Canis lupus familiaris: one gene and its partners. The protein of the gene in region 1 purifies or fractionates together with the protein of each later gene. This does not show direct contact. Links are inferred from orthologs where the notes say so. Each region holds a gene or a part of one and is shown on either strand. Other genes may lie near its edges.

Region 1 (6,769 bases):
AAAGTGAGATCTGCTGCAGGAATTGTCCTAAAGGAATCTATTCCTAGAGCTTCCCCTCCATACTATTCCTAAAACTGCCTGCAAACCTGCAGTTGGGTTCAGGACCTAATCATCCCTCTCCCCACTTTGCAAAATAAAGAGAACAACCCCCATCTCAGTAGGGTGCATTGCCCTGAGGGAACTGATGGGGCTGGGATTACAACCTGTAGGCCCCAAACAAAGGCTTAACTGGAAAGACAGGTCTGGAATCCCTTATCTGAAACTCCTGGGGCTACTTTACTTGTGTTTAGGAATTCAGATTTTTTTTTTTTTTTTACAAGTGTAGTCCGAGGTATACCCCATGCACTACCTAACACCCGCTATGTGGTCAGGGGCATCAAGCCATAATCAAACACATTAGTAATTCTGCAGCAAAAAAATCTGAATTTTCTATATTAAATAGGAGAAATAAAGAGGCAAGATAGTCCCACTTTATAGTCTAGTTTTGCCCCTAAATTGCGCCAAACTTAAGTTTTCAGAGCTTTTTAGATTTCAAAATTATGAATGAGAGACTGTGGAATGGTATTAGATTTCAGGAAGCTTCCTTGAATGATTAGCCTGGGTGCCTTAAACCTACAAGGTATATTTTTTCACACCGCATTTTAGCTTGCCGTCTCATCTACATTTCTGTGAAGGGTAAAGCTCACCCAAAGGAGTACGCTCTGAATTCAGGAACCAGCAAAACAGTATAGGTTATTGACAATTCTTTTAAATATACCTGGAATGTTTCTGGTGCTATCAGAAATTTTCAAGACGCCGATTTAAAGGAAAGAAAAAGACTTCTGATTCAAGGCACAATGTGCTTTAAAGCCATTTTATCAAATCATTCCATTGAACACTAATTCCAAATGCAGTCAGTACTCATCCTATTTTTAATATCGTCTACCTCCCGTTAAAAAAATCAGACATTTGAACTCCTAATGAAATACTGCAGACGTCAACCTGAAAACGTACAAGAGCATTGCAAAATTATTTCGTGTGCACAACCCCCCCTCCACTGAGGCAGGCCTAGTGGAGACTCAGCCTGTGCCCACGCTTTCCTCTCCCTATGATGCCTCTCCCTTTCAAGCCCCTTAACTTGCATTTGAAACCCCACTAAAGTGGTCCCAAACTAACCTCTCCAGCTGCTGGCTCCGCACTGGCCACAGGTGGATTCCTACCTCTCAGAGGTCCCCCTCACACTGTGGAGGCCATCCTCCCCGCAGCTATCCTCACCCAGAGGAGCCCACCCTCCCCAACATACTGGAAAAGTCACCCCTCTTTCCCTACACACGAGGGAGTCCAGCTCTCCTATCAGAGAAGCCCCCTTTCCCCTCTTCCCTGGGGAGTCTTCTCTACAGCAAACCCTTTCCCCATCACGCGGAAAGGAGATACCCTCACCATGAAGAGTCCTCTGTCCCCCACTCTGAAAAGGAGGTCCGTCCCCTTCCCTTCCCTCCCCTTCCGGCGTCTCGCGTGGACACCAACCGGGTAACGGTCACTGGCGGCCGATTTTCCCGCGCGCGGGTGCGGCCTCCCCGACAAGCCCCCGCGCGTGCGCGCGCCGACTGGTCGCGATCAGAGGCGCGCGCCCCCCTGCCGCGTCCCCACTTAGCCCCGCGCCCGCCGCGTTCGGAGGCACGCGCCCCCTCCCCTCAGCCCCGCCCAGCCCCGCGCGCCAGGCCCGGGTTCCAAGAGCCCCATCCTTTCCGCGCCAAGCTTCCGGCTCCTGGCTCCGTGGCCTCAGACGCCGGGGCCCCAAGCCCGCGACGCCACCCCTCTAGCCCACCCGGCCCGGCCAGCAGGCCGGCGCCGCTACCGCCACTGCTTCACCTTTTAAATTTTCCGCCATCTTTCCCCACGGCTAACGACATTCGGGCCTAACCGGCCTCGCGAGAAGAGAGCTCGCGCGGGCGTGGCCGAGAACGCGCAGCCTATTGGCCGCACGGCGCCGCGAGCATAGCCCGCGCGGACCAACCGGCGAGCCGTGACCGGACCCCTCCCCGCTACCCCGCTCGGTCCCGAAGGCGGGTGCTCGCCAGCGCTTTCCCAGAGTGCGTCTGGGCGGCAGCCGCAGCGGCGGCAACTGAGGTTGCCGGAGGCCCTACCCGTACGCTGGTCTGTCTGTCACGCTGTCAGCCAATCACGTTGTCAGCCGGCCGCACGGGGGATTCTCCGTCCTGTCAGACCCCCAATTACCACCGTCACTCGGTCGTCACCACATTTTAACCCCAAGCTGGCCGTGACTCCCAAGATGGACTGTCACCACGTACAGCTGCTCAGCCAGTCCCCAGAATTAAATCAGACAATGGGTCCATCACCACAGACAACTGTTTAGTCAGACCCCGGTCCCCCACCCCCATTCACAGGGTCTGTCAGTCAACGGCAGCATCCGTTCGTGGCCAGCTGCGAGTCTTAAGGCAGACACGCATTCCTAACAACTACACTGTTAGCCGGCCTATCATTCCCTCTGGCTGCCCCTTTTTCACACAGTCAAGCAGCCGGTCTCTCCATCTCTTGCTCTGGGGGCAGCCCTGAATCCCCCTTGGGAAAGCCTCTCACAGCCACCAGCCGTGGCTCAGGTGGGCCGTGATTAGGTGAGGACAGGCTGTCATTGTCATCTGATGTCGCCCTCTCAGGCAGTCACACTGTCCAGTGTTGGTCAATATTTAATTCCCTCAGGTTACTCCTCATTCACGCCATGATCAGGCAATTATTCCCTCAAAGAAATAGTCACAGCAACTAAAGCCTCCATGCCACCTGACAGTGGGTCAGCAGTCTGTCACTTCTCAGCGAGGTATGCCCACCATTGGTCAGTCATTTGGTCAGTCTCCGTGGGGCTCCCTCCAGGCGGCTGTGATTCCAACCTGATACAGCCATCCAGTCAGGCAGCTACACTGGTATTTCAACTGGTCAGATGGCCTGTGAGTCGTTCACTGCTCTTCATCGTTTTGTCAGTCGCCAGGCAGCCATTCTCAGCATCTGACTGACCACACATGGTCTATGTGGTCAGGGTGGACAGTCACTCACCAGATACAGTTGCCTATCAGGCAGTCACAGATCTGTCCCTCAGTCAGCCCGAAATTCCTTCAGGGTAGCCCTCCTTTACACTGCATCAGACAGTGTAACATCCAGACACTCCCTCAGGCCAGATGTGACTCCTAGCAATAGTCAGCCACGCACAACATCCCGCCGCCCAGGCAGCAGCAACAGCACACACCACCAGTCAGCCAGCTTGTCAGTCCCTTGGGAGGCTGCCTGTCTTCTACACTATCAGACCACCAGTCCCAGCCAGTCCCAGGTGGGCATAATTTAGTTAGATATTCAGTACCTCCTACCATCAGGCAACTGCACTGTCAGTTCCTCAAAGCGCCCCTTTCCCTGTTGGCACATGAGTTATGTGGTCAACCAAATGATTACAGTTAAGCAGATGGTTGTTCTGTCCACCTGCCAGTCTAGCTCTGAGCTTGTTGGAGAAATAGACGGTCAGTCTGAAGTTCCATCAGCTCCTGCTTACCATGACTGGAACAATCAGCAGCATACGTCCCACCACGCATCCTCTTCCTTCCCTTATTCCTTCTAGAACACAGTCAGATGCTGGTCCTTGCGTGCTCCCAGTCTCCCCCAAAAGGTAAAACCCTCCTATTCCCAGGAGCCTAGTCCAACCCATAAGAATGGCTTAAGGCCCGACTGAATCTGGAGGGGGTGATGTAGGAGCATGTGGGTGTTGGGCAAACATCCCTTTGCCAATTTGAAAGATAAAACTGCCAGTTATGTTACCAGCAAAAGATGAGTTTATTCAGGAATAGCTGAGAATTGCAACGCAGAACAAGCAAGTTATGGCAAAACCATATGCAAGTCCAATAAACAAAGGAGAACATTATGTTATGGAGAAGGAGGAGGTTGGGAGGGGTTTGGAACAAAAATCTATTGGACAACAGCAAGAGTTCATACTGATGATGGTTTCTCATTGGCTGAGTTGCAGGAGTAGTCAGTTTCTTAAAGGAGATAGGATGTACATCTTTCCTTTGTTGGGGGCCTATAATTGACCATTCTTTCCTGTTGAGATACTTCTGTTGGGTGTGTAGCTGAAACTTTTTGCAGTAGACATTGTGCTGTAGGCTTCCTCTACCAGCCTCCCCTTCTAACATCCTGAGTCCATTTAAGTAAGGTTTCCCTTTCTTAATTTTCACACCGTGGTCCTCCCCAAACAGTATATATAATGTAATGAGTAGAGGCATGGATCTTGGAGCCTAGCTACCTGGATTCAAATGGTAGCATTTGCTAAATTGTGTGACCTTAGGCAGTTTCTTCATCTGAAAATGTCAGATGAGTGGCTTTGGGGTGGGTATCTCCCACTCATCTGGAAATCAATCTTTCTGGACTAGCATCTGTCCAGGAGACCTCAAAAGGAAGAGGCCACCCTATTATTACTGTGTCCCAATCCCAGCCATTTGTCTGTTCATTCAGCACTACTTTAGTGCCAACTGTGTATATTGCCTTGCCCAGTGCTGGGGCCAAATAAGGTCTTCTCCATTCCAAGCTGTATAGGTTTGACCTGTTTTCAATGCAAACCCCATCTTTGAGTGTACCACACATTTAGGAGAGGTCACAGGCCATGGGTGATCAGTGTCATGCGTTTTCACAAGCAAACATAACTGTGGGACCAGAACAAAGGTTAAGAAACATCTCCAGCCAGAGATCCAGGAACACTTAATTCTGGAACATCTCTGAATTCTGGCTGCATCTCCCAAGCACTGGTGAGTCATAACTTAATTCGCAGTACTTTTTTGGTCTTCCTTGGTGATACATACAATAATGGTGCATTTTATGATCAGTGGTGACTCAGGATCAACCAGTAGTAGGAAGATTAATAGCAGCAGTGGCATCTAATGTTTGTAGTCACCTTAAGGAGCCAGGAACTTTGCAGACACTTTAATTCTGCAACCTTGCAAAGTATGCATTTTTTTTGTCTCAAATTAAAGATGGGGAAAACTGAGGCCCAGAAGGGTCAAGCAACTTGCCCATGGTCAGTACTGGTTTGCCAAGCCCATGCCTGCCGTAGGCAGTGCTCCTGAGGATTCAGGGGTTGTATGATACAAGGTCTTCTCCATGACAAAGCCTGCTGAGGGGGTCCCAGCACACTGGATTTCTAGAGTTTCCTAGCAGGGAGTGGGGAGGCAGGTGAGTGATGCTGACAGGCCCTTCCTAGACTCAGCTGGCCCCTGGTGACCTGGCTGAGGTGGGGTGGGGAGTAGAGTGGAAGGTGAAGAACCATGAAAGAATTAAAAGGAACTTGAGACTCCCTCCTTCTTCAGCTTCTGTGGCTTCAGGGCAGTTCTTAAGGAGCAAAGTCAGCTCCCACTTCCCACACCTCCACCCTCACCGTGGCTCTCCTTTGCTCCTTCCCCTAGCCCACAGCCTGCACCTCTGATGTTTCAGAAATTCATCCACTGGTCTTGCAGATGAATGAAGCCTGATCTCTCCAGATTCCTCCTTACTGTTCTCTTTCTCCCCCACTCTCCTCTTCCTCCCCTAAAGCTAGGATACCTGAGATCTCCTTATCCACCAGATTTCAGAAATGAGAAGGAGGAGATACCTCTTCCAAGGCTCTGATGTGCAAGAGCGTCTATCACTCCCCCTGGAAATAGCTTTAAACACCAGGGACAGTTTTGAGTTGCTCCTTTTTTTTGGTGAGTAATTTCCTAGAAGAGGAGGGGGGAATCAGTTACATACTGTTATCTGGCCCATTGTATAAATGAAGAAACAGGCTCAGAGGTGGGGGGTCTTTCCCAGGTTCTAGAGCAGATCTATCTTATTACTAAGTCTTTGCTTCTTTGGTTGCCATTGGTCAGGACTTAGTTTGCTCTGAGAACTAGGCAGAACCAAATTTTAAAATTGAGAAAGGGATCCTGCCCATCAAGATCCTGGTGTGTGAGTTGTGTACATGGAGAGTAAGTCTGACCATCGAGTATTCTCTTGATCTAATATTGTGTTGATTAGACTTTTTTTAAATAAGTAAGTAAAGGAATAAATAACTCCTGATCATTCACCATGCTCAACCTCCAAGCTTTCCCTACCTCAAGGCTTTGCACGGGCTGTTCCCTCTGCCTGGAATGCCCTCCCCGCAAAGGTTTATTGGTTGACTCCTCTCTCTTTAGATTCTTCACAACTGTCACCTCCTCCGGGTGGCTTTCCCTAAATTTTCCATCTGAAGCTGTTCCCCCTCAGCCTATCACAGCACTTGTCATGATCTGAAACTATCTGTTGTTTCTGTTTGATTCCTGGTTTTGTATCTGTCTCCTCCAATAGAATGTTGGCCTCATTAGGTTTTCTTCCCACTGGTTTAGCTCCAACCCCTAAAGTAGTGCTGGGCAACAAATGTTTTTGGAAAGAAAGGCAGAAGGAAACAAAGAAATAAATGAGGGAACAAATGAGTGAATGTACACAGGTAAGGCTAAATAAATGAAATGGGATAGGTGAATAAAAGACACTTTGGGGGAAAAGGACCCCAAATTTCCACATTTGGAATATAAACCAATTTGAGATTAGAGAAACAAAAAGACAGTTATTTTATTTTGGTTTAAAACTCATTATGTGAGAAGCACTGAGAAATTCTGTATAAAAAGGGGCCCTGGCTACTGCTAGGGTGAATGTTTGAGGACCAGTCAGAGATAACTGCATTGGAAGGGTTGGTGGGGAAGAAACGGGACCTGAGGGCCTGGAGGCCAGGAGTGGAGGACAGCAAGCA
Region 2 (6,052 bases), on another chromosome or scaffold:
GAGCATCAGCACTGCTCTGGGGGCCAGGGACCCAGCACGGGATCGGGATCCATTTTCAGGAAGAATCTTTATCTGCCTTTCAACTTATCAGTGGAAGGCACACACTGTGAGGGCTGGGTCTTCTGGGGGAAACCCCTGTGGACCCAAGCCCCAGGGGCCAGCACCCCCTACCACAGCTGACCTGCAAATGGGTGATGTTCCTGTCAATGTTCATGGGGGATGTCACGCAGTTCTGAGAAACATATTTGTAGTTGCTGGGGCACGGCTCGCTGTCCACAGCGTTGACACACGGGATGGGGATTCGCTCATAGCCTCGAGCAATGTCTCTGCCACCGGGAAGGGGGGACATTACCTTTTGCTGTGATAAGCAACACCCCCACAGGGCAGCCGCTGAGCCTGGGGCCAGGCACTGTGGCCTCAGTTGGGAGGGAAGCCTTAGTTTCCAACTCTGCAACCCCCGTCCGTCAGCCCTTGGCCCAGAGTGGTCTCCTCACCTGCTCACAGTCTTCTCCATCGGGACAGGCCTGTCGGGAGCTGCGTCTCGCAGCGCCCGACTCATCTGCAGTGCGTCCCACACCTGGGAGTTAAGGCTTGCACACTGCAGGGGCGTCTCTCCTTCTTTGTTTTTCAAGGTGACATCTGAATCCCGAGAAAGAAAGAGGCTAAAAGGAAAAATGTAAGCCAATAAAACATTCAGACCTTAATTTAAAAGATATGAGAATGAGATTTACAAAATAATTACAGTCAGTAAAAATAAAAGGAACACATCATTTATCTTGGTATTAAGCTTGCTGACCGGTGCTTCTAGAAAGACCTGCCCTGACTCACCAGGAACATACTACATCAGTCTTTTTTTTTTTTGCTCCAGAACTGTGTGTAAAGAACAAGAGATGGTACTTGAGGGCTCTTGGCTTTTCCATTCAGAGGCTCATGGACGCCCAGGGCCAGCATGAAGCAGGTAAACCACACCAGCTGGCCGTGTCCAGGGTCCTGATCCACTTGGAAGCGGGACAGCTCACCCAGCCCCACTCAAGGGCCTCACGCACAACCTTCTCTGCCGAGCTGCCACCAAGGTCCCAGTCTGAGTGGGCGTGTGGCCCACAGCAGGGCTCCCCCTCATTTCCAGGTGAGATGGAGGGACCCGAGGTCCTGTCCCCCACACTCAGAGCTTCCACTGACAGCAGAGCGAGAACCACTCTGGACCCCAGGACCCCAACCGCACCCACTCATGAGAGGATGACTCCCCAGAACCCCAACCGCACCGTCTCTCACTCATATGAGACGGGAAGGGGTTCAGAGTGGCGAGTGGTAAACACCAACATCTCTGTCCCTCCTGAACCTGTCCCAGAGGGGCCTGTCCCCTCCCCTCTGATGAGAGGTGCTGGGTGAGACTCATCTCCACACTCACCTATGTATTTGGGGATTCTTAACAACCATCCTCCCTGAACCAGAAATAACCAGACTGACCTCACATGTGGAATGGGACCCTTACACCTCTGGCTGTTTGTGGAAGAAGCTTCCCTGGGAGGACCTGGGGCACCAGGGCGCCCCCACCCTAGGAGCCTGGCAGGGGCTGCATGCAGCAGAGCCACTCACAGGACACAGGCATAGCGGTCCTCCCTGGCTGCAATGTGCAGGGGCGAGTCTCCATGGACGTTCACGGCGTGGAGGTCACACCTGGCAGCCAGCAGGATCTCGGCTATGTCCACGCAGCCCGAGAACGCAGCCCAGTGCAGGCAGATGTTCTCCTCCTGCACAGACAGACGGCACAGCACACCAAGGGGAGAGCAAAGACCCATCTGAGTGCTGAGGGAGCTTCCTTTTTTGTTTTGTTTTCATCATAAAAGTAACATAATCACAGTACTATTTTAAAAATAGAATAAAAAATCATCTGAAATTAGACCAACCTAAGCACACTATTAACGTAACATCTGGGAGTAAGTTATCTACTTTTTAAAAATATTTTATTTATTTATCATGAGAAAGAGAGAGAGAGAGAGAGAGAGAGAGAGAGGCAGAGACACAGGCAGAGAGAGAACCAGGCTCCATGTAGGGAGCCCGATGTGGGACTCTATCACAGGTCTCCAGGATCAGGCCCTGGGCTGAAGGTGGCACTAAACCGCTGAGCCACCCAGGCTGCCCCAAGTTATCTACTTTTTAAAATTATATTCACTCTGTAACAAAGTACAATTGCAAAACAGGACACTTGTGTAAGATTTTTAAAAGATAAAATGTAGACAAATTTGATCACACTAAAATTTTACTTCATAAAAACCCCTGTAAAATAAAACTTTTATTTATTTTTTTAAAGATTTATTTATTTGAGAGAGAGCCCGAGCAGGGGGAGGGACAGAGGAAGAAGCAGGCTCTCTGATGAGCTGGAAGCCCTATGTGGGGCTCGATTCCAGGACCCGAGATCAAGACCTGAGCTGAATCCAGACGCTTAAGCTTGTGAGCCACCCAGGTGCCCCCCTCCCTTTTTAAAAAGGATTGATTGATTGATTTGAGAGAGGAGACAGTAGGAGTAGGGAAATCATTTTAAATCAAAGATTAGAAAAAAACCATTTGTGCTGTGTATAAACTACACTGTAATTTTGAAAACAAATACACAAAAGGTATAAAAATGTAAAACTTGTGTGACCGATGAGGAACACACGTTAAGTATAGGGAACATGTGGCCTTGCCAGGTGGGAAATGAGCACAAAGTAGCCATGACATAGCCGTGAAGCAACCACCCTGGGGACAAATATGAAAGCTGCTCTGACCCCACCCCTGCAGCGCAGGCCACTAGCTCATGGTCATGACCTTCAGGTGGTTCCCGTCTTCCTGTGGACTCAGGCACTGAATACTTTAGCCCTTTCTTTTCCTGACATGCTCTCAGGGCTTAAATGCTCTCGAGGCTTAAGCGCTTAGAGGTGCAAATTTGTGGCCCTGGAAGCACTTCCTGCTCTCCTGGCAGAGAGGGTGCTGAAGTCCCAGTACCTCACAGGAGCCACCACTGAAATCAAGCCTGGCTGCCCACTCTGGCCCCCCCACCAGCAGAGCCCCATGCACTGCGTGCCCAGCTGCGCCCACATCAGTCCCCATGGAACCCATATGCCGGCTATGTGACTCTGAATGCCTCAATCCTGCCCCCTTCCCACCCACAGAACCCCCTGGAACGCTCCAGTGATTGAGGACAATCGGAGTGCATCCAATGCTTGCGGCCCAATGAACTTGAGGAAAGAGATAAGTCAAACCATGTGGTCCTGTCTGTTCACAAACAGTGTCTAGCCCCTAGCACAGGCTTCACATGGGCTCCTGTCAGCCTCAGTATTTTCTGAAAAGCATGGATCTGCCTGGAGCTTCCTTTACTGGACGCTGCACTGGGATGCCTGCTATCCCTCTCATCTTTCCATCTTCCATACATTTGCAAGCTCCAGAACAAAAGGTGGTTTCCTGAGGGGCCTCTTTTTTCATTCCTTCATCAGAAGGACCTATTATATTATAACCAGAATCACATGCTAAGACTGTCTGTGTCCACCTAGGCTCCTCCTAGCAGAGGAATGCAGTCCCAGACTAGCTGACATCTGCCTGCTGGGTTACAAAAGGCCTGACCCACACATCTGAAGTGACAGACAGCACTTTGGTTCTAGCAGAGACCAGGCCAGAGGGACCATCTGGATTTACCCTCCTGCCTGAAAGAGCCAAATAGTCAAAATATGTGAAATAGGGGAGCCTGAGGGGCTCAATCGGTGAAGCATCTGCCCTTGGCTCAGGTCATGATCTCCGAGTCCTGGGATGGAGCTCTGCGTCGGGCTCCCTGCTCAGTGGAGAGTCTGTTTCTCCCTTTTCCTTTGCCCTTCCCCCTGCTTATGCTCTCTGTCAAGTAAATAAAATCTGCCCCCTCCAAAAAAAAATGTGTGAAACAATGGTTTTCAAGACACTGGACACCAGGCAATGAAGGGCTACATCCCTGAAAGTAGAAACAAATACGGCCTGGGTCTGTCCACTCACTGTCCTGAGATCCAGCCTCAGCACAGGGAGAGACCAGAAGTTCAAAGGTAGGAAGTGAGAGCCAGTGGCTAAGGCAGCTGGGGTTCACAAAACAGGGGTAAGGCTGGGAAGAGGCCTCTGGAGATCAGACATTCCCATCCTGGACCTCCAAGACACACCTCCAAAGCTGAAGCATAAAGAGCTGAGACCTGCTTGAGCTCACCTAACAAACCTAGAAAGCAAAACCCAAAACAGACTATTTCCAAGCCACTTTGCTGCACCCAGAACAAAGCTTAAGACTTTTCCAGGAAAATACAGAAATTCACAGCTCGGTAAAACCAAAATGTCTGGCACCAACATAAGGTTGCAAACAAAACTTCCGGAGCTGACAAGCACGATGTCTGACAGAAACACACTGGATGAGACTAACACCGTTACAGGCTATAAAGAAAAAAATTACTGAGCTTGAAGACACAGCAAAATTGTTATTAAGACCAGCAAAGCAGCTGTAAAACCAGCTAAATTGTGATCCAGAGTGAAAAACATGATTGAGAAAAATGAAAAGAGGGATCCCTGGGTGGCGCAGCGGTTTGGCGCCTGCCTTTGGCCTAGGGCGCGATCCTGGAGACCCAGGATCGATTCCCACGTCGGGCTCCCGGTGCATGGAGCCTGCTTCACACTGCCTGTGTCTCTGCCTCTCTTTCTCTCTCTGTGACTATCATAAATAAATAAATAAAAAAAAAAAAAGAAAGAAAAATGAAAAGAGCATCACTGAGCTGGGAACACCTTCCAGCCACCTGAAAATTACAGAGCGAGTGGCCCCTGTGAAGGGGGCCAGGCAGAAACACTCTGGGGAGGAATGAGGGCAGGGGTCTGTACCTGACATCCTAACCCTAACATCACTGACTCACGCTTCACAAGCCGTGACCTCACACGTGCGACACATGCGCGAGTGACACAAGGTGCATCATAATTCAACTGTTAAAATCTAGTGACAAAAAGAAAATCCTAAAATTGCCAAAAAAAAGCAGATGCACTGTATCTAGAAATAAGGACAAGGTGCCACCGAGAATTCCCTGTGGGAAACACGTCAGTGAGGACAACAGGGAGGCTGTGTGCATGAAGTACTGAAAGAAGCTGTTGACCAAAGTGCACACCCAGCAAAATACCTCCCAAAAAAAGTGAAGGCAAGATAAGGAATCTGCAGGCACTCATCAGGGGCAGTCCAGCGCCCCAGGACGCAACAAACAAGTCTGATGTGTAGAAGAAAAGTGACCCTGCACTGAAGGACCTAAGTAAGTGAATAAGGAGCAAAGAAAGTGGTGGCAGCAGGTGCTGAGACTTGAGACTTTCCTCACTACAGTGTTTCCAAAAGATCACGACAGTGGAAACGATGTGACAACGTATTGTGGTATCCCCACAACTCAGAGCAACAGCATGAGGCCTGGGCAAGCACACAGCACTCTGTCCTCACTGAGAGCGCAAGCACAGGCACAGGGGCAGATGCATGTGGGCCATGGCACAGCGGACAGAGCCGCACACATGTGCACAAAGGGGCAGAGTCAGTTCTGTGGAGAAGGGACGGCTTTTAGACAGATGGGCTGGAATGTCTAGACATCCTCATGCAAAACAATCACTATAAGAAAACACAGGAGAATGTCTTTGGGATCTTGGGTCAGGCAATGATTTCTTAAAGACAACACCAAACACATGATCCACAGGTAGAAAATAACTAATAAACTGGACTTTTTCAGTATTAAAAAGCATCTGCTTCTCAAAAACAATTGTTAGGGCTAGTAAAACATCTGATATAGAGAACTTGCATACAGAAAATACAGCAACTTTCAAAATGAAGAATAAGAAAAAATGATCTGATAAAAATGAGCAAAAGATCTGAACAGATACACACACACACACACCGGAAACCGCCCGGCCCACAAAGAACACAAAGACTGGCCAGAGTAAGTGCTGGGGAGGGTGTGAAGGAGCCGCCCTCAGATATGACTCTTAGGCACAGCCACTCTGGAAGCTGTGCAGCCTCCTTAGGTGACCCAGGTTTCATGGGAGAGAAATGACA
Region 3 (5,445 bases), on another chromosome or scaffold:
AGGAAAACTGTCCACATGTACAAAGTGCTACAATGCCAGACAGTGATTTATGAGAAGCAGTTTTATGTGCAGCTTTAGACTGATTCAAGTTTGCAAAGAAAGTAATTTTCCTTTGAAGAAGGCAAGTTTCTAAGCTTTTAATTTACATTAAAAAGTCTGATGCCAACCCCCCTGCCCCAAGAAATCTCAGTGTTACCAAGGTTCTTGGTCTTGGACAAAATCTGGATACTCATTATCATTAACTCCTCTTTTCCAAGGACACCAGCTCTCGTCATCCTGTGCATCTCCTTAGTATGAGTGTGCTAACTTTTGAGTGGAAAGTGTGACTCACTGTGCCCTCTGGTTTCAGTGAGGATAACACGTGGGAGCCAGAAGAGAACCTGGATTGCCCTGATCTCATTGCCGAGTTTCTACAGTCACAGAAAACAGCACATGAGACAGATAAATCAGAGGGAGGCAAACGCAAAGCTGACTCTGATTCTGAAGATAAGGGAGAAGAGAGCAAACCAAAGAAGAAGAAAGAAGAGGTAAGGGGAGAACAAGTTTTACTAGCCCAGAATTCCTACTGCTGTCAAAGCTGAAAAGCCTTTTAATTTTTAAATTTAAGGAGTTTTATTCTGCTGCTTCTTGGGCCTCAGCACCCATCTCTCCTTCCTCTGGAATCTTAGGCTAATGCTTATAAAGTGTTTGGGGGTTCACTTTGCTGAAGCCATGTAATCTATACTTTATCCAAGTTTCTTTCCTTTTTTTTTTTTTTTTTTTTTAAGATTTTATTTATTTATTCATGAGGGACACACAGAGAGAGAGAGGCAGAGACACAGGCAGAGGGAGAAGCAGGATCCATGCAGGGAGCCTGATGTGGGACTCGATCCTGGGCCTCCAGGATCACACCCCGGGCCGAAGGCAGGCGCTAAACTGCCGAGCCACTCGGGCTGCCCTACTTTATCCAAGTTTCAAGAATAATAATGAGTGCAAATAAATTCATTCCTATAGATAGTTTTCAGTGTTGTAATCATTACAGGTGTTAGCTCTATATTTATTCAGTACCTTAAAGTAAGTTATCTTCTGAGGGTGAAGAAACTGTTGTGAAAATTTATTTTGCTTGAGATGTATGTCCCTTTTTACATATGGGGAAACCTCAAGACCTTGATGGAAGAATCACTCAGAAGGATGCATAAAGGCCTGTGACTTGGAGCCAAGGTATTGATGAAATACTGACAAGAATGTGATTATATTAATCAGAGGAGCAGGAGTGACTCTAGTCTGGATAACAGTCCCACATAATTAAATTTGTTGCATCCATCTGATTTTTACAGTCAGAAAAGCCACGAGGCTTTGCCCGGGGTTTGGAACCAGAGCGGATTATTGGAGCTACAGACTCCAGTGGAGAACTCATGTTCCTGATGAAATGGTGAGTCTGCTGGTGGCCCTGTGTGGTGGTTTTTTTCTTCTCCCCATCTGTTCCATGCCAGAGGAAAAGAGCTGGATCTTCGAAATTCCAGTCGCCCAAGTGTGAAATCTTTAAGATGGCATAGTCCTTCGATAGTGACCCTCGGCCTGACTGCCAGCCTGGACTCATGAGTTACAGGTAGGGGCCCTTAGGATTCTCAGATCTTTGCCCCATTTATTAGGAGGTGGGAGAAAATCCAGGATGGAGAAGGTACAGGGAAGGATCACATTTCACTTCTGTGAATGAAGGGGTTGGGAATGAAATGTGATTGAACCACCTTCCCCTTGTACAACCTCCTTAATAAAAATTGGGCTGGCCCCAGGATCAGAAGTTCTGTTAACTTCTCAGGGTTATTTAAGAATTTCTGTAGCTCTTCCTTTGTCTTTGATTGTTAGATCCTTTCCAATTTGTGCAGATTCTGTAATTCCAGGATCAGCCAGTAGGGGTCAGCAAGTCACCTTTACTGTACTGAGAGCATAGAGTAATAGGCTATTTTTTTCCATTAGAAGTATGAATACCAATGGTAGTAATACTCCACAAAACAGCTTAAGGAAAACAGTTGTCTTGAGAATGATAAGAACTTTAATTAACCCCAGATTCCCTAAAATATCCCTATTCTCTGCCAAAAGGAAGGCTTTCTTTTCTTTTTCTTGCTGGTTGAAAAATGTTTGTGCTTTTTTCCCCCCCCAGGTAGGTCTCAAATATTGTCCTTAAAATATAAATTAGGAGGGAATGATTCTAAGCCTTTACCAGTTAAGGCAGAATTTTAAGGATTTTGTCCTTTTGTCAGTCTAGAATCTTCTCTTAAATTCCTGTCTATACTAATTCCTCTTGCTTAGAAGGTGGTCAGAGAGGCCTGACTTTGACACTGCTGAAAGCTTATGTCACAATTAGGTGAAACTCTTGTTTTCTTATTTTGTGTTTCCTATGTTCACTGAATCTGACATTTTAGCTGCTTTACTGCTAGCCTATAGGAGAAAAGTTCATTTTTCATTTTTAAGGTGTGCATCTGGGGTGGTGGGGGGAGATTGATACCAGGAGCTACAATCCAACTAGAATATATTTTCACTGTCTGCATGTGATCAGTCTGAGTTACTATACTATCTCCATATTGTTTAAGATTGCACTCCTTTGGTTGAATTACTGCTATTTTTAAAGATTATACCTGAATGTAATTCTACAAGTTAAGATAAAAAGATTGGATGTTGATTAGAAAAACCTAGTTCATTTTAAGATGATTTTCTGGAAGAGTTGAAATAGTTGTCCATTACCAAAATAGAAAATATTCCTTTGTTATGAAATAACTGAACTTCCCTCAAAGTATTGTTTGAATTGTCAACAAGGGCAGCCTCCTTCAGGCTCCCATATTGTTAGACTCCTTTTCCCTCCCATTCTTTTCAGTCTGTTGTTCAGAAACATACCTTACCAGTTTAGTCAACCCTGGTTCCTTGTGCTCTCTGGCTTTGGTTTATCTGTTTCTGAGTTCTAGAAGTTTTGGGTGGTGCCTCATTGGATCCCATCATATAACTGCTACCTGCCTTAATGCTGCTACTCTCATCTAGGAGATTCCTAGTGACCTTACTCCTAAGTCCTTTGTAATATGTATGTGATTTTCAAATTTTGAGACCATTTTTTAAAATTCAGGAAAATATAGAGAATTATGTAACAGTCCCTTATTTTCTACTTCCCAGTGTTGAAGCACCATTTCAAAGCACCTGGGAGTTGTGGAATATCTGTGTGAGCATGGCATTTGGTAATGTTAAACAGTGTAATTATGAGTCAATGAGAATGTGTCCAACTGCATTGGCTAGAGCCAATGGTATTAAATCTTATTATTGGTATTAAATCTTACTATTGGTATAAAATCAATTACTATCCAAAATTCTACTACAAAGCCAAGATCTCTCCATGGGCTCTTGGGAGCTTGGCTTTTGGATGAGTATGGTAGCCTTTCTTCTGCCCTCCAAGAATCTGAGAGTCATGTTTGTTTTTGTTTTTGTTTTTGTTTTTTTCCTGGCCTTGCCAGAGGTTCACATGTGATAGATTGAGTTAAGTGACTGAGCTTAACAAAGATACCAGAGAGGATTTTCAACAGAAGACCTCTGAGGATGTCACTTGACTAAATGCTGTGTAGGCCATGTTATCGCCCTATCCCTTGTGTAATCCAGGTTAGGAGACCACTAGCACCTGGTCTCAGGGTCTCTCTGCTTTGTTCTGCAGGAAAAATTCTGATGAGGCTGACCTAGTCCCTGCCAAGGAAGCCAATGTCAAGTGCCCACAGGTGGTCATATCCTTCTATGAGGAAAGGCTGACGTGGCATTCTTACCCCTCGGAGGATGATGACAAAAAAGATGACAAGAATTAACTGTCCTGAGTACCTGCCCCTGTCACATCTGACTGTGGGTTTCAAGTGGGGAGGGAAGGAGTTCTACTCGTCTTGACACCGTAGAGGTGGCTTGAGAAGATGTCCTTTGAAGAGCCAGTATCGTTTCTGTGCCCTACAGCAGCCCAAGTGCTTTAAAGCCTTTCCATGCTGTGTAGTTTGCACACCCATCCCAGTGGAGGGGAAGGAAGAGAAGTATTGCAAGGCCACCCATTCTGTACTTTGCTGAGAAAGGCAAAGGGCCTTCCATGAAGGACAGAACTTGCAGAATGGGTGTGTGGGAGAGCAAAAGATACTGTAGATCTTCAAAGTGCATCTCCACAACCCACAGCCTTCTTCCCAATAGTGTTAACTCTGCATTTTTACAGCGTAGCATGTGTGTAGTTTTTGGCTATTACTGGTGTATCATTTGGGGGTGGGAGGGTTGGGGGTGGGAAGGAACGGAGATGGGTAGGATCATTTTTGTTAAAATTTGGGGCCTGATTGGGAAAATGGTGAAACAATGGAAAGAACAAACTTGTGGTGATTTGGTTCTGTGTCCAGAATATTTTATCTTTTCAAAAAATGTCATTGGCAACCTAAATGAGGACTGTGAGAGACTGTTTAAAAGCTGTGAATGCCTGAAACTTAAAGCCAAGGTGTTCCCTGCCTGAGCTTAATGCTATTCCCAACAAAGGACTAAGCCAGTTAATAAGTTACCAAAGCTGCCATTTTGGGGATGGAAACTGGTTGAAGAGGGAAAGTCTTATTGGAGCGTATACATAGGCAGATTGTTCTGTCATAGAGGTGCTAATTCTTGAAATTGGTAAGAAGACCCTTTCTTTTCCAACTATGAAGTTTTAAACATCAGCTTATCCATCCAAGCCACTGGCTGAGGTATTTGGGGAGGAGAAGAGGGTGGTATAGAAGGTGGGAGAGTAGAGAAAGACAAGGGCCCATGCTCTTAGGGTGGAAAACTCTTGGAGCCTATTATTTGAACTTTGAACCCTGAAATCATTGGTGGCAGGGTTCAATCACTGACAGCACAAGTTCATTGAATCACTTCAAGAGTTGAATGACTTCAAAAGCCCTGGTCTCAGGAGAAGATTAAACTTTCATACTGGGGCAGTGGTTCACTTTAAAACACAAAACAAAACAAAAAAATTTTTTAATCCTAAGAACTAATACCCAAAATGCTGTCTTGAATCATGAGATCCATCAGTTCTTGACATCGTCTAGACCTGCATTCTAGAACTCCATTGTAAAATCTTTTTAGGCATGTGTTAGGTTTCTGTGAAAACTTTGTTTAAATGTAAACTTCATACCACATTTGTCAGTTTTGTCTTAATAAAACTATAGATTTATAATCCTTGATTTCTGTCTTGATTAAGTATTACCAAAAACCCTCCCTGCCTTTGATTACCTTTTGGTTCAGCTTATAAGGAAACAACTTCTACAGTTGGACGGTTTGATTTTTTTTTTAATTTTTTTTTTTTAAGATTTTATTTATATTTGTTCATGAGACAGAGAGAGACAGAGGCAGAGGGAGAAGCAGGCTCCATGCAGGGAGCCCGATGTGGGACTCGATCCCAGGACTCCAGGATCACGATCCTAGCTGAAGGCAGACGCTCAA

What was found.
Region 2: the proteins of SUV39H1 (region 1) and EHMT1 purify together in Homo sapiens (co-immunoprecipitation; 3 studies listed by BioGRID and IntAct, with this or other methods). This does not show direct contact. The link is inferred for Canis lupus familiaris from reciprocal best matches to the Homo sapiens genes SUV39H1 and EHMT1.
Region 3: the proteins of SUV39H1 (region 1) and CBX1 purify together in Homo sapiens (affinity purification with mass spectrometry; 3 studies listed by BioGRID and IntAct, with this or other methods). This does not show direct contact. The link is inferred for Canis lupus familiaris from reciprocal best matches to the Homo sapiens genes SUV39H1 and CBX1.

What each region holds. Positions count from the first base shown.
Region 1 is NC_049260.1:42,094,601-42,101,369, reverse strand, and holds the start of SUV39H1 (histone-lysine N-methyltransferase SUV39H1), read right to left. Parts: upstream 3,633-6,769; 5' UTR 3,576-3,632; coding exon 3,536-3,575; intron 2,025-3,535; exon of another isoform or gene 1,871-2,024; coding exon of another isoform or gene 1,852-1,870; intron 1-1,851. UniProt on the Homo sapiens protein: Histone methyltransferase that specifically trimethylates 'Lys-9' of histone H3 using monomethylated H3 'Lys-9' as substrate. Also weakly methylates histone H1 (in vitro).
Region 2 is NC_049230.1:48,025,861-48,031,912, forward strand, and holds part of EHMT1 (histone-lysine N-methyltransferase EHMT1), read right to left. Parts: intron 1,752-6,052; coding exon 1,597-1,751; intron 663-1,596; coding exon 495-662; intron 327-494; coding exon 182-326; intron 1-181. UniProt on the Homo sapiens protein: Histone methyltransferase that specifically mono- and dimethylates 'Lys-9' of histone H3 (H3K9me1 and H3K9me2, respectively) in euchromatin.
Region 3 is NC_049230.1:24,314,595-24,320,039, reverse strand, and holds the end of CBX1 (chromobox protein homolog 1), read left to right. Parts: intron 1-349; coding exon 350-527; intron 528-1,316; coding exon 1,317-1,411; intron 1,412-3,141; coding exon 3,142-3,295; 3' UTR 3,296-3,662; downstream 3,663-5,445. UniProt on the Homo sapiens protein: Component of heterochromatin. Recognizes and binds histone H3 tails methylated at 'Lys-9', leading to epigenetic repression. Interaction with lamin B receptor (LBR) can contribute to the association of the heterochromatin with the inner nuclear membrane.